Linked DNA regions of Daphnia pulex. The protein of the gene in region 1 interacts with the protein of each later gene in a pairwise test. Links are inferred from orthologs where the notes say so. Each region holds a gene or a part of one and is shown on either strand. Other genes may lie near its edges.

Region 1 (8,052 bases):
TGCAAAGGAGGCAGTAAGTACAGCGCTTGCGCTAATGAGCAATGCATGATAAATGTCAAATGTGCCTTCGGGAATCCAACCCATGATAACCGCAGCTATTGATGCGAGAAAGCCCACGACAATTGCCTGACACTAGAAGAGGTTTGGGACAAATCTTCAAAGGTCTTCCTGGAATTAGGATTTAGACAAACTGTACATACCTGTATCAATGCTAAATTGCTTTTGATTAAACTCCAGCGCTGATCTGGCGAATCCATTAGGCCAAGATTCGCTAGAGTAGACAGCCTAGAAGCCAATGTCATTTCAAGATTGCCTTTGAGCCCCAATAAAGCTGGCACCAAAATGAAAAGCTCAGTTACCACTTGGAAGACATTCCAATGCTGGAAATAAAATACATGTTTTTGTAATAAAATCTGTTCATAAAAAATGAAAAATGATATCAAATGTTCCTTTTCTTACCTGAACGATATCAAGCACAATCCCAGCTCCCACCATCCCTAATCCAGCAATGAGAAATGGAAAGAATACTTGAAAGGCAAGTAGCCAGAAGCCTTCTTCAATTTCTTCAACAACATCATCATTGATAGCCTTTGGTGATGATGTCTTCAGCATGACTTCACATTCCCCTTCTTCACTATTTTCCCAATCATCATCTTTGTTAGTATCAGATGTAGGAATTTGTTCAATCATTTCAATGACTTCACAATTGTTGTCCTCTGTCTGGGGACCCATTTTCTTTCCTACAATTCTTTTTCTAAGATTGTTAGATGATTTGAATTTCACATTAGGGAAAGAATTCATAATGGCTAAGCCTTCAAATTTGCAGCCTGTAAATTAAAAATATATCAATTACAAGTTCAAACTGAGAAATATTATGAAAAACATACTACAAGTACAGAAGGCATGATGAATATTGAGAGATTCATAATCACAGTTGTCAGGTACATGACTATTATGCTGATATAAATCTATGGGGTATCAAAATGTTCACACAGCACCTTAGCAAGGACAGGCTAAAGCAATAACAAGGAAGACTATAATAAGCAAAAGGATTTTACATTGTGCGTCACTGAAACGAAAAGACAAACAAATTCGACCTTAGAAAAAGAGCTCTGTAACACAAACCGTTATATACAATTTTAAGAGATCGCGGAAATTCTAAGAGCTGAGCTTAATTACTAACTGCAGTTTATAACTACTGATACAAAGTGAACAATACGGGAGCGGGAGAACGAAACGTGACATAGAACGAACGAACACAATCGAACACAGACATCTGTCACTTTCTCACAAGACGTGGCAAAAATAGCAGACGGCACGGCCTACACCTTTTTACGGGGTGCGTTCATAAGTCGTCGTACTTTGTTCACAAATGATTTCCAAAAAAAAAGGTCACCAAAATCGCCAAAGGCTATTAGCTATTAGCTCACCCTACAACAGAATGGAGATTTTTACATTTTTGTCCAAATTCTCCAAAGATCAATTCTCGACAACGAATTTGATTATTTCTCTATTTTCTAACAAGACAAACTTGAATTAATAAATTATAAAGAGCCGGGTTAACTGATCTCATATCATCAGTGCATATTTCAAAAGTAATATCTTCTTATGAGTTTTCATGTCATTTTCAATTTAACTTTATCTCCGTTGCGTCGGCAGCGGCATTAACTTAAAATTTAATCAATATCGAAATTTAGTTATTACATGACTATTTTGAGCGCCTTCTCTTTTGTGACCTATCATGATTGTGGATCTTATCATTTAGGTAAATGTCTGTCTTAGCATCTTGAACAACAGATTTTTCCCATTCATGACCTGTGAACGCATTGATAAAATTGTAAACGCTACTGTGAGATTATTAGTTTATTACATGTTTAAAAATCATTATTCGGAAGACACGTCAGCAGTTGTTAAGATATTTTGTTGTTTTTTGTGAACTTGAAAGTGATTTCAATGAGGGAAACATTTTAAAAGTGTGACTGTAGCTTACAGAAATAAGCGAGAAGTGAAGTAAAAAAACACGAAAATCCTGTAGAATTTAAATATGAATAATTCTTGTACTTACTCTAATCGGCAGACGTAAAGTCATTAATCGCTTAACTTGTAATTAAAAAGTTTGTGGTCTTATCTTTGATACAGTAAAAGCAAGGCACCTTGTGAAGGAAAAAGAATTTTAAAATTCAGCATATTTATCAATTTAGTAATTTACTAGGAGTAAGAATATTAAAAGGTAAACAAGAGCCGGAAAAAAAAACGAATCCAATTATGTTGATTCGTTACTTATTTTTCCCATACTAATTCGCTGCAGAGCTTTTCCTCGGGCTAGTCTCGTAAGCTTTCTTCAAACGCTTCCGAAGTTCAGCCGGAAATTTATCGAAACATTTTTTACAAGTCGGTTTCAAGTCGAATTCGTAGAACTTGGTTTTCTGCGACATTTTTGTGTCACAAACCGAACAAGCGAAATGGTGAACACACCAGGCTTTGTTCAATGCGGTAAACACTGAAAAGAAAAGCCAATCAAGGTGTTAATGTCTTAAAAGAAGAACATGTATAAAATGCTTTACCATCTCCTCCAATAACTTGATTGCAAACGAAGCAAAGATTGCCGAAAAGCTGATGATAATGGGTTTCGCAATAGGCAAGACCCTTCTTCTCATAATGGCGATTACCCAAGAACGGTTTCTCGCATTTGGCGCATACGAAATGCTACAAATCAATCCATTGTAATAGGTAAATTTAATCCCTGTGATGATTTCATTAAGTTTTATACCTCAACATGAAAATGCTTTCCTAACGCCGTAACGACACGCTCTTCAATTGGACGACGGCAAGCACCACAAATTGGAATACCCATTTTGTCGTGGCATCTCAAGCAATACAACTCGTTCTGTGTAAATTTTAAACAATTGTCACAAAGATATTAAATGTTAAAAAATAATGTGAAATACCATCTCATTAGCGGTGAAACCTGGTCTGCTTTTAACTTCACGTGCGTCCGCGTTGAGTTCGATTCCGCAAGACGAACAGTTGAAATGATAAGGATGATAGACTTCGCCACGGAAACGTAGCGGACGATCATCAATCATAGAGCTAAATAAAAATAATGATCCTTAGATTCCGATGAAATTTTCAACTATACACAGCACTTACTGGCACTTATGGCAGACATGTTTTCCCAAGCTGGCGGCTTTTGCTCGAGCGTTACAATCGTGGCAGAGTGCCTTATTCTGGTGACGAATGAACCCCTGGTCGGCTAGTTCTTTGTCACACATCTCGCAGAGGAAGCACTTGGGATGCCAATTGGCATTCATTGCTTTAATAACACGACCGATGATAAATTCACCTAAGAATACAAAAAATGCGTTATTATTTAAAAATCTATGAATTAGTCAATCGATTTAACGCTTACCACAGCGACCGCAACAAGGAGCAAAGAGCATCTGAAAATCATGCTCACAATACTTGCGACCCTCAAACTCGTAAAAAATTCCTTCTGGAAAGGAGCGAAAGCATTGAGCGCACCTGTGAAAGATTAAGAAATTAGAATTCAATTTCAAGTAAAAATGTTGGTGTGAGTACTTACACAAAGCACTGGGGATGCCACAGCTCTCCATTTGTATTGACAATCTTTTCATGAGGCTCAAAACCATAATCACACCTCACACATTGGGTGTTCTTGTACATATCGCTTTAAAGTTCAAACCATTATTAGTTTCTTGAAATTCAGAATGTGTGAAATCTACTATACTAACTGTTAAACCACAATACCTATCAATATTACTAGGTTTAAGGTTTCTAGAAGGAAGTTTAGGAGGGCTGTTAGCATAAGTATTTTTTAAAATGTAAGTTTGAACTGAATTCAAGCTAGGTATCTGAGGAAGTGGTTGATTTTGAATTCCCTTCGGAACATCATTAGATGTAAGGTCTTCAAGCAAACCCTCAAGTTCATTTACTTCACTTGCACTTGCACTTGGTTTCATCTTATCCTCCATTCTTCTAAGGTAAAGGTTACTATTTTCAAAGGGTTTAAGAACAAGAATGTTAGGTCTTTTTGCCATGGTGAAAAATGGAGTTTCTTCAGTGAACACAACCGAAATGTCCAGCAATTTATGGGGTGAAGAACGGCAATTGATAACTAAATGTGTTATCTCATGTGTGGCCACTTCAAGAGCTTATTAATATCAGTAATAGTATTTATCTTATCAATAGCTTACCCAGGCGGCATTTGAAATGAACACAACGATAAAATAAACTCAATAACTATAAGAACTTCAACAGATTGTAGAGACCTGTGGACGAAATCGGGTGCTAACACCAACACAAACCGCGCCCGTTCAGAGATCAGCCCAAATAAGGAGATAATTTTGTGAAAAAAGTGAAAGGGACTAAAATGCGGGAAAAAAGCTAAGAGAAACGCAAAAATACTATGTGCTAAAATTGATAAAATTCCTTGTAAAAAAATTAACATTTGGTTCTCGCATTTTTTAAAATTTACCTTAATTCGGATTGAGCCCCGACGAATTTCGAAATCGTTGTTTTAGACATTTCCCTTCTTTTTCTTTATCATTTTACCGCATCTTCTAAATCCACGATTTACTGCATCCGGTCCGTATTATAATGTTTTGATTGACTTGTAGAGCCATCTGGTGGTCATTCAACGAACTCGATTAATTAATTGTTGTCTTTTCGATATCAGTATATAAAAAGCACACCATTACCTTTGTAAAATTAATTTTCTCTGCATTTGTGACGTTTTTCAATTATCGGAACTTCAACCCATTTTATTGTGACATCTGACATTAAACGCCGCCCTCTGTACACGCCCCTTCAAAACACGCCGCCAGGTGATGTAAGAAGCATAATTTTGATAGTAAACATGGCTTCAGAAGTAGTAGATTGCGAAATTATTGTTTCGAATTCGGTTAACAATTTTGATGCAGCTACTAGCTCCAGTCATGGAATTCTTGACAGCAGTGATCCATATGAAAGTCTAAATAATTTAAGCGGTACCAGAACAAATAGTGATTCCAATGATGTGAGCTTAAACATACAACCTCCTGCAGACCCCGGTTGTACTGATGGTTTTCAGAACGGTGATGTCGGATTATTAGAAATTGCCGTTGAAGCTCAACCTGATTTGATTTTTGAATCAGATCTTGTCTCCAATAACCAAGACCAACAATTTGTACGGCCCAGGGTCTACTTAGAACGAGAGTCTTTCAGCAATCAAAATGAGGATTCCATATCACGTACAACCAATGTGAGATTTACTGAGTAATAATCTCCCCTCAAGATTTGTTAAAAAGCATTAATGAATCAGGCTTCATCAATCTTGGAAGAAAATTCCCTGCCAGCTGCTGCTGGTGATGAAGAGAGTGGATCAGACTCCTTGCTGTGGAAAAATCAAAAGAAACATTTCTTTGTCTTGAGTGAAGCAGGAAAACCCATCTACACAAGGTTGGGTTTGAATTAGCTATTTGTCATTTTTTATAATTAATTGTTTTCCTTTTTAAATTACAGACATGGAAATGAGGAGCAGCTTGTTACCTTATTTGGAGTGATGCAGGCACTTGTTTCATTTGTGGAAGATGGGGAAGACTCCATGGATATGATTTTGGCTGGTGATACCAAATTTGTTTTTCTACACAAAACACCTCTTATTTTGGTAGCTGTTTCGAAATTACGAGATAGTGTACTTCAGTTACAGCTGCAATTAGAGTAATGCAATTATAAATTTTTTAGTTAGTTTCAAATCTAAATTGCTGCCTTTTTAGGTATATCTTCAATCAAATCTCTAGCGTTATTACTCGAGCACACCTTGAAAAAATCTTTGAGCAGAGGCGAAATTACGATCTTCGGAGGCTTTTAGGTATGCCTTGACTTCTTAGTAATCGAGTTAAAATCTTTCCTTTATATAATTATTTGTTTTTTTAGCTGGTTCCGAACGACTCATGGATAATTTGGTCAACTACATGGACACCGATTTTTCCGTTCTACTTGGTGCAGTCAAATGCCTACCGATGCCTTCTTGTGACCGAGATGCGGTCACGCAAACTATCCATCAACAATGTAGCAAAATTAAGGTGTCTTTACAGTTAGAATTCAAATGCTCACGTCTCGGGTGACTAAACATTTTCTTTCCGTTTTTACAGGGCTTAGTCTTCACTGTGTTGATTGGTAACAATCAGTTGATCAGTTTGGTGCGTGTTAACAAAAAGCACCTGCTTCATCCCTCTGATGTACATCTAATCATCAATCTAGTAAACTCATCCGAAACATTTAAAACGGCTGAAGGTTGGACCCCCATATGCCTTCCACATTACGATCCGAGGTCTGGCCCTTATCCATTACAAAACTGCAAAATCAGACATTTTTATTTGTTAATTTTTTATTTTCTCGAATTAGAGCGTTTTTGTACGTTCATGCGTCATACCTGAGTGAAGATTGTCAAGCGTGCCTGCTCTTTTTTACTACCGATCGTGATTCTTTTTTCAGTCTTTCCGATGCCAAAAAGAATATCGTCGATGTAAATTTTTTTTTTTTTTTTTTTTTTTTTTTTTCAGTTTCTTGGCTGCTTAATCTAATCGATATTTTGGTTCCTTTGTCCAGAGACTACGACGCCACAATAACATTCTCGAATCGATCACTCTGGCTTTACATTCGATCTGCCCTATCCTTAGTCAAGTGGGCTGTTCGGATATCCGACATTTTGTGTACAAGTCAAGATTGTCTGCTCAGTACACTTATTCTAATAATGGTCCGCCTTATCAACATGAACAAGGGCAGCTCTATTTAATGGATCTCTACCGACATGTTCACGGTCGCATGCATTCTCCATCACGCCCATTGAAAATGATGTGTCACACTGCTGAAAAAGAGATACTTTTTGGCTTGGTAAGTTGTTTCAAAATAAAATGGCTCACCTTTTTTAGATTTACTTACTAATAATATGATTTATCTTCAATATCTTATCAGGTTACTCCTACTTATGAACTATATATGGTCGTAGAGCCGATGACGACAAAAGCGGCAATAATGAACGCGGCCAATGCTATACTTAAGGTAATTGAATGGCTCCGATGTACTGAATCCACATTTATAGGTTGATTGTTATTATGTTCCCCTTTAGTGGAGTAAGCGTGAAGAAGAAATCCACTTCATCACTACTTCAGGAAGTTGGTAAAGTACCGAATGCAGCCTTCCTTTACATTCACCTTCGTTTTTCATGCATCATGATATATTTAGACTTCCAGATTTATCTGTTATGGTTGTGTTAATATTCATTCCATTTGTGATACATTATAACTGCAAATGAGAAAACGAATCTTTTGTAGAATTTTTTATTGAAGTTCTACAATATATCTTTAAAGAACTATCCAACCAAGAGATGTGTGGGGACACTTAGTAGCCAATTGCAGGAAAAAAGGGTAAGGGCTTAAAACAAGTGATAGGAAGAGAAAATTTTTAGTGAAATATCGCCAACTTGTAAATGATTAAACTCTACAATTCCAGCTGTTTGGGTATTTGATTTCTGCGAACTAGCTTTGGCCAGTCAACAAATTCGGGGCCATTGACCACGATAAAATAAGAAGATGCTACTGCCATGCCCGACCAAAAAAGAAGATACAAAAGGCTTTCGGTGCTCAGTTCTAAGAAGAAAAAAAAAATTTAATATGTTTCTATTAATGAAATCTTTTAATAAATTATTTACCACTCGGGAGCAAGACGGTTACAAATACCATAGTGGCCGCGATACACCAGATTCCGGGAAGCTAGACGAAAAATAACAACATTCCACATAGTAAAAAAAAAAAGAAGTGAAAGGAAAACATAGTAATACGAACCAGTAAATATTTCCAACCACGATCGATACGGGGTGCAAGTCTGCCCTCTTCAACTACATAATTACCAAGAAAGAGGTCGATGGCATCCTGCAGAGGTAATAAAAGATTGTCAAAAGACACAGAAAGGTCAACCAAATGAGATAAATTCGAAGAAAAAGAAATGTACTTGTCGAAAACCATCAGCGAAATTATTCTTGTAGTAGCGGAC
Region 2 (7,912 bases), on another chromosome or scaffold:
AACTCATTGACAAAAATAAAAAATAATTCATAAAAAAACGCATTACATTTCTTTCATTCAAATGTTGTAGAAACTGTCAGAGTGGCCCAAGTATAAAATGAGGAATGTTCAAACAACAAGACAAGCAAGCTTGAAAACTTCGCTAAAACCAGTTTTAGCTAAGCATTGTTTTTCATTGCTGCTTGAGCTCCATAATTAAAACATCTTTATGTGTATACCCCCTCCTCAAGAGCTTACATTTTCAAACCATGCTACAGTTGAATAGAGCACAATGTGTCAGTTGATACTGTAATATAAAGTTAGAAGATGGATGTAATGTAGCAATCAACAATCAATGACTAATTTTTGGTCAGATGTGATGTAACTGATTTATGTCTTAAAAAACACAAACCTCCTGGCAGGTTTTATAAAAAGGAATATGAAAAACTAGAATATACTAGAAGATCGATTGGCACAGCAATGTAAATAAGGAAAGAAGCTGGTCCCAGTTGAGAGTATTACACTGAAACGAGTTACCCAGAAAAAGATGGCTAGAAAACGAAACACTTGGTGCAGTGGTAAAGTGATTCGAACTATATAGTGATACGCAAATCGACGATAATTATCTCAGCAGGAACGATCTGGGAACGAGACATTGAATCACTTTGTTGTGTAAGTCTTTGCTGGTCTTTCGGTTTGGGCGACAGTTAAAAATCAATTAGTACCAGTTAACACGCATTATTAGATTATTGCAAAAGTATACTCACATAGGACACCATAACTATAAGGGCTGACTCACTTTAAGCAAATTCGAAAATTGATTAATTGAATTCCAGACCAGACACAATGTTTGCGCGCACGGTTTTAACGGCAGCCATATTGTTTTTTTATTCTTTTGTTTAGATCATGTAGTGTTGCCAATTTTCTTAATCTAAACAGCTGATTTTTTTAATTAAGAAGAGGAGCGAAATCACTCAATCAGCGAATTTTATTTCTTCCTCTTTGAATTGTACTAAGTTTTGGTTATACAAATGAGGTGTTAAAAAATTAACACGACGACCTTGTCGCGTTTGATGAATCATGGTGATAAAAAAAGGTGAAGATGGTCTTATCCGCGTGTTGGCTCCTAGCTTCCTCCATAAAGGGGTACAGTGTTCGCTTTCATTCGAGCCAGGGTTGTGCAGACTAAAGATCATTACGTCGGTACCCAGTCATCTTTGAACCTGGAAACGCATCAGACAATTCTCAGATGAATGGGGAGACATGGAAACACATCATACAATCTCTCCGATTTCAATCACTTCCTTAGTCACCGTATAACCATCCTGTGGCGCCGTCAGTGGGTGTGAAAGCAACTAAAGATGCTCCCCCGGGGATTTGAACTCCCATCACAAGGTGCCCCGATCACCAAGCGACTCCTCATCCTATTCACCCACCCGTCCACTATAATTGTACACAAAGAAAAGGAAATCTTTTCAATTTTAGTAGATCAATTTGATCAATTTTTATCATGATCAACTTCAATTTTAGTTAAATGATCGCCAGACGTGGAATTTGGTGAAAAGTAAAAAGAGTAGCGAATTTTATTAAAAATCACGGTTCAACCCGTTCAACATTGTAGGCGACTTCGCGTGTATTCTGAACAGGGAATAAATTTGTTAATCGATTTTAAATAATGAATTAAACATTTTATTATAAAATAAATTGTATATTTTTTTAAAAGGCAAGCAAAGACTGAAATTCACGTCTGTAGTTCTGTACAATACAGTCATCAGTCAATATTTCAAGTCAAACATTAAATGGTGGGAAAGATGCACACAATCCATAGAGACAAGCTTGGCAGCGAATGGGATCGTGATGAACCGCCAGAGATTTTTCTCTGGGTTGACTGTGTCGAATACGAACAATATTGTAGATATCTTGTGCATTTCTTTGCTCACCGTAATAGGACGTGGAAACGTGGCTAGCCAGAAACCTAATGGCATTTTCTATTTCTTCAGGGTACCAAAGTGGAGTCAGAAATTCAGACTAAATAAAAACAAACGAAATTAATTGACCGAAAAACAGAGGAGGAAACTAATTATTACCTCATCGAACGAGTCTGGCTGGTTGCAGATGCTACATTTTTGACCAATAATTTGAACAACGCTTCACACAGGACCTGGTCGCCTTGGCGACGGATCGGAACCAAAATGAGACCTACCCCTTCATCGACGTCCATCCTCTAGTGCACTATAACGACAATTTTAATCAAGATTACAAAACGCCCAGTTCAAAAGATTAGAAGAAAATGGAATTACCTTGCACTGGAACCGAACTTTGGCAGAGAAGGAAGTTGAATGCCACGGCCACTCGACGGATAGCGGAGGAAGTTCTGTGGGTTCCAATGTCCACAGATGTCCGTGTGCGGCTACAAACGGGTGAAAGAACCAGCAAAATGCGCTCTGTCAAAATGTCTCCAATCCACTGTAACATTTTCAAAATGCCAATAAGAAAATGGAAGCGAAGTAGATAATACGTCGAAGATTTATACTAAGTAAATTCATACTAGTTACTAGGGCATCGCATTCCTTCCCGGAAGAGGAACTGGCGGCGTGGACGGCGGAGGCAACGACCATTTGATGAGACGGTGATTAGCTTGAACTTGGTTGACTTGATGATGGGAAGATTTGTCTTTGCTGCTGGAATAACACGGAAATTGAATGGGTAGGGAACCAGCTCTACACTGTCCAGTGGAAGAAAAATTCCGATGACTTGATGAGGGAACACACCGCGACACTGACACTGGACTTTCGCTTCCTTTCGCATGGGCTCCATAAGAATTGCTTTTAAAAAAAGTTATCGCATCAAGAAAAACTAAAAAAGTAGAAAAAAAAAACTTTATGTTGCCTAATAAATTTTAAAATGTTATTTTGTTTCAGATAGCTCAGTTGGAATAAACGTTTCGTCGCCAGAAGAAGATAACACACGTTGTCTGGTCAAACGGTAAAATGTGCAACTAATTACATTGATAATATTAACGTCCGTGTATCCCGTCGGTAGCTCAGTTGGCAGAGCGGTGGACTGTAGATTCGTTTCATTCGTGAAAAAACAAGTTATCCATAGGTCGCTGGTTCAATTCCGGCCCGACGGAATCTATTTTGATGTCAATTCCTTTTAACGCAGATCAAAAGAAACGCAACAACGCGATTTTTTTATTGCGCTTCAATTCAGAATTATTCCGCTGAAATAAAAAATTATTAATTGTTGTTATTCGGTACTATCGGAATATGAAACTTACTTCGTTATTTGTAATAAAGAGAAAGGGAGGAGGCAGGAAAAATAGTCTTTGAGGGGAATGGGTGGCCACCAGCAGCAGGTAAATAGGACAACTGTAGTCAGAGTCAGAGAGTAGCAGCATTTACAAAAATTGAAGTAGGTCATAGAAGAGAATCATTATGATAGAATCTGAAACAGTTCAACGTGCGCATGGACTTACAAGTTTAACTATGCATATTGCATTTGTACTATATAAATAGCTTAGAATCCTTAAATAGACTAAAGTCAAAACGATACTTATTTTTTTTTTTTTTTGTCTTGCCAATAACGGTTCTTTTTTTTTCTTTAGATCGGTTGATTCATTGGTGGGAAGTTTCCATATTCCGCATTTTACCATTTCCGTCTGCTAGCAAAAACACTGGTCTGTCTTTTATCTCCTTTTTTGGTTGTTGTTTGGGGCTTTGGGCGTGTGAATGCACTAGATTGCTCGGATCGAAAAAGTTGACAAACCTTGCAATATTGTCTACATTCTTAAAACTTTGTAGTTATTATTATCATCTCTAGCCAAAGTTAATAATATTCAAAATGTCTAAAGTGAGAAAAATCATAGATGAAGCCAAAGAATCCAAGAATCCTGAGCTGGATTTGGTGGACAAGGGTATTTCTTCTTTTGACGAAATACCGAGTCTCCGTAAGTCGTTGTTTTCTTTATTATAGTGATACTTGACTAAACCTTATTTTATAGTTACCATGCTCAACTTGACCCGGATTACACTGACGCACAACAGAATATCAGTTGTAACCCCAGCTTTGGCCAACTTGACAAATCTTGAAATCCTGAACTTGTTTAATAATCAAGTTGAAGAACTCCCAACATCTTTGTCTTCCATGCCAAAACTTCGGATTTTAAACTTAGGGTAATATTTCAACCCGTTTGTTTATTGAAGATGTTGTTTTGAAATAAAGACATTGATTTATAGAATGAACAAGCTGAGCGCTCTTCCTCGAGGGTTTGGAGCCTTTCCTGTACTAGAGGTTTTAGATTTAACTTACAACAACTTGAATGAAAGTAGTTTACCTGGCAACTTCTTTATGATTGGTATTTTTTAAATTCATTTTGGAAAATCAAACTTTGTATTTCTAATTTATTGCTTGTTTTTTAAAATAGAAACACTCAGAGCCCTGTACTTGGGTGATAATGATTTTGAACGAATCCCACCCGAGATTGGCCATCTGAAAAATCTTCAAATTGTTAGTATTGCAAAGCAAAGTAAATAATCTCTTGTAATTAATTTACACATTTTTATAATTCTGCAGCTTGTTCTTCGAGATAATGATTTAGTTGAGCTCCCTAAAGAAATTGGTGAATTGGCCAGGCTGAGAGAATTGCATATTCAAGGCAATCGGTTGTCAGTTTTGCCCCCTGAATTAGGTTTGAAATTTAATACTGTAAAAAGAACGACAACAACAAAAGAATCCCCAGTTAACTTTATATTTGTTTATAGGTAACTTGGATCTCACCAGTAACAAATCCGTGATTAGAATGGAAAACAATCCATGGGTGGCACCAATTGCAGATCAGTTGCAAGTTGGTCTATCTCACGTAATTGATTATCTTCGATCAGAAACGTATAAATTGTGAGTACTAGTAATTAAACATTCAATTTTAAGTGGTAGTTTTGAGAAAACGATTTTCGGCTTGTACTATGTTGCTGGTTGTTACCCAGCTGTTGATCTTGGTTCAAAATCCATCTGTGATGCAACATTGAACGTTTTACTATTGGGGTTTTTAGTGTTCATGGTCGGCACGCTGTGACTCAAGCCCCGAATCGCGTTTCAGAAAAGCGAGACCGAAGCGTTTCAATCGATTAAGAAACGAAGAACTTCTTGTTGAAGGCATTATTTTATACTACACTTCTTATCTCTAACTGCCTGCACTAGAGATTTTTAAAACATGCAAAAAAAAGCTTGCTTTCATTTTTTTATATTTTAGTCAATCGCTGCCCATTCTGATAATTTGAGAGATATGAAATAGTGGCTAGAGCGATTTATAATGCTCGTTTATATTTGTTTGTCATTCGTCCTCGTGAATCACAAAGAACTTTAGTGCCGCACAAACCAAACTGACTTGCCGTTTGAATGCTTGTGGTGCTGAACGTAACCCTAAAATTACTGTTTTTATTCTGTATTAATTTCATTCTTTTTTTCAGTGTCTACGGACGTCATATTTCGGCCAATGCTCCCGCCCCTGCCCGACTCACAGAGAGAACAAAGAAGAGCTCCAAACCTAAACCATAATTCATGGAATTTTTTCAGTAGTATAGCTTCTATGGCTCTGTTTCATCAATTTTCTGATTTTCTTGTTCAAACCGAACATTGATTTTCAGAACAGATAATCCAAATTAATCATTACATTCTTCGCCTTGTTATCAAATGTGCCAACTGCTGCCTTCCGTTCTTTGAATGGACATTTCTTCTAATCATGTAATATTTTTTCTTTACGAACTAACGTTGTCTTCCAACTTTTTTCGCGTTTTCTCGTCCGTTGTTCTTCTACTAGCGCAGATTTATTGAACATGCATACATTGGGTGTTGAATTTAACGAAGTAGTAGGAGAAATAAATAAAGCAATCAACCAGCCCATTTTTAACAACACAAAATGTATTCGTTCTTCTTTATGTACAGGCATGTCCATAAAACATTTATTTTTCTTTACAATGTATAAGTGGGGCGCGACCGTAACTTCAAACGAGCACAACTCTGTTATCTTTTCCTTTTCCTACAAGGTACAAAAAGGAAACACGGTACATGACACACACATAATATGTCCGACGTTTAAAAAAAATTTCCAAAAGTGACAAAAAAAAACATAATTTTTGAAGATAGTAAACGTGGTGTTGGCAGCCAATTGAAAGCACATCCCAAAACATTTATAGTGCGTGATACGGTCCAATACAAATAGGATTTCTATTATTCGTGACTTTATATCGCGCATCCTGAAACCAAAAGGCAATTTCGAATCCCCATGAGAGTCGATGAGATTAGCTCATTAACTGCTAAAAGAGGAACGGATGAGAAAGAGAGGGACAACAAGTACACTTGCGCAAAAGATGTTCAAGATCCGTTTGGAGGTGGGAGAGGGGGGCGACGATCTGCGAACTCGCGGCGGTATTCTCGATCTTTATTCCCACGCCAATCCGCATAGCCACTACCTTGCATCCCACGAGCATGATTGGGCGGAGGCTCAAAGTCACCGTAATGAGAACCGCTATGAGAACCACCAGCAGGTCCGTGTCCGTAACCCCTTTTATCTATAGCTGGCGGTCGGTAATCACGTTCTCTGTGATCCCGCGGATCTCGATCCGAACGAGCAAATCCGGAAGCTCCTACTCCAGCGGCATGCTGACGACCATATCCGTCTCGCCTATGATAAACAGTTAATAATCAGAATATGCCATACTATTCAATCCAATTTCAATGGTAACAAACCTTTCACTGGCGTATCTTTCGTCACGAGGAACTCCCATCCAACGCTCCCGATCCCTATCCCGATCTCTGTCGACATGTGGATTGTAATTTGTGGCTCCCAGAGGTGGTGGCGGTGGACGACTGTAAGCACCACCAGCAGGAAGTCGATCCCTCTCTCGATCTCGCCCTCTTTCTCTATCACGATCTCGACTGTCAACAATCATGATAACATATCAATTTCAGAGCCAAAGAAAGATATCGATTTTGCGAAGCTTACCGGTCTCGATCACGCTCACATTCGGATGGGAATTGTTCTCTCCTCTCCGTTGGAGAAGGAGTTGGCCCTCTACCTCGATCACGTTCGTAGTCATTGGCTTTGTCAACCCAGCTATCGACTATAGTCGCACCATTATATGGTCTTTTGTTTGGTAAATGTTGCTGCTGAGCCTCTTCCGGCTCATGACGACGTTTAGTTGGAATGTTGTAACTCGAGGAACGATTCTATTTATTAAAAAAAAACAATCACAAGATTAATGGAAACGTTCTTCTTAACAAATAATAAGCAAACTACCTCTTCTTTGACTTTAGGCGTCTTTTCCTTGTTTTTGTCCTTACTCCGCCCTTCTTTGTCTTTAATCTTGGCAGAACTTTTCTCGCCATCTTCGTTTCCTTTACCCTGCTTCTTGATGGCATTACGATACAGCTTAAACAATTTTTTGGCGTCGAATTCAGTGAATTTGGATACAAAGTACCAAAGGTTGCTACGGAAAAAACGAAACGAAAATTATTAATTTAAATCCAACACCCCATGTCAACTCTGCTTCATTTACTTGCGCCAAACTCTGTTACGTTCGGGGTCAGGTATGGCGGCCAGGCACTTGTCAATGTGTTCGCCAATGTGTAAAAGGCACTGCTGAGTATGCTGAATCTGTTCCGTTTCAGACATACTCTGGGGAGGGTTGTCCAGCGCCTTCAAAGACTTTTTCACGGGTCTCATCTTTTCTTTGCACTGGTGAAAGCAAATTCAAATTTACAATTAGTTTTACTCACGGCCAACAACCTGAAACTCAAAATTAATTACCTCGTTGAATATGGATGGATCTAATTCACCAATAATTTCAACAGCCCGAGGAACACTATTGGCAGTAAAGTGCATGGGTCCGGCATCCTTTTTCTTGACCTTTTTGTCTTTTTTCGAAATTGAATC

The links.
Region 2: the proteins of LIM and senescent cell antigen-like-containing domain protein 1 (region 1) and ras suppressor protein 1-like interact in a two-hybrid assay, tested with the Caenorhabditis elegans proteins (2 studies listed by BioGRID). The link is inferred for Daphnia pulex from reciprocal best matches to the Caenorhabditis elegans genes unc-97 and rsu-1.

What each region holds. Positions count from the first base shown.
Region 1 is NC_060026.1:14,673,355-14,681,406, forward strand, and holds LIM and senescent cell antigen-like-containing domain protein 1, read right to left. Parts: upstream 4,200-8,052; 5' UTR 4,059-4,199; coding exon 3,769-4,058; intron 3,689-3,768; coding exon 3,584-3,688; intron 3,523-3,583; coding exon 3,410-3,522; intron 3,344-3,409; coding exon 3,151-3,343; intron 3,091-3,150; coding exon 2,949-3,090; intron 2,888-2,948; coding exon 2,771-2,887; intron 2,707-2,770; coding exon 2,565-2,706; intron 2,501-2,564; coding exon 2,295-2,500; 3' UTR 1,849-2,294; downstream 1-1,848. Other genes in the region: solute carrier family 41 member 1-like, read right to left, coding at 1-132, 201-380, 460-801; protein SAND-like, read left to right, coding at 4,877-5,260, 5,321-5,457, 5,521-5,718, 5,775-5,869, 5,935-6,083, 6,153-6,331, 6,406-6,526, 6,610-6,894 and 2 more; phosphatidylinositol-3-phosphatase SAC1-like, read right to left, coding at 7,501-7,649, 7,712-7,772, 7,845-7,931, 8,011-8,052. UniProt on the Caenorhabditis elegans protein: Component of an integrin containing attachment complex, which is required for muscle development and maintenance. Probably function in adherens junction.
Region 2 is NC_060024.1:9,497,415-9,505,326, reverse strand, and holds ras suppressor protein 1-like, read left to right. Parts: upstream 1-3,655; 5' UTR 3,656-3,822; coding exon 3,823-3,928; intron 3,929-3,982; coding exon 3,983-4,154; intron 4,155-4,217; coding exon 4,218-4,336; intron 4,337-4,405; coding exon 4,406-4,488; intron 4,489-4,554; coding exon 4,555-4,669; intron 4,670-4,742; coding exon 4,743-4,875; intron 4,876-5,030; coding exon of another isoform or gene 5,031-5,109; exon of another isoform or gene 5,110-5,133; intron 5,134-5,447; coding exon 5,448-5,535; 3' UTR 5,536-5,872; downstream 5,873-7,912. Other genes in the region: chromodomain-helicase-DNA-binding protein 1-like, read right to left, coding at 6,352-6,661, 6,727-6,915, 6,983-7,206, 7,277-7,466, 7,536-7,714, 7,787-7,912.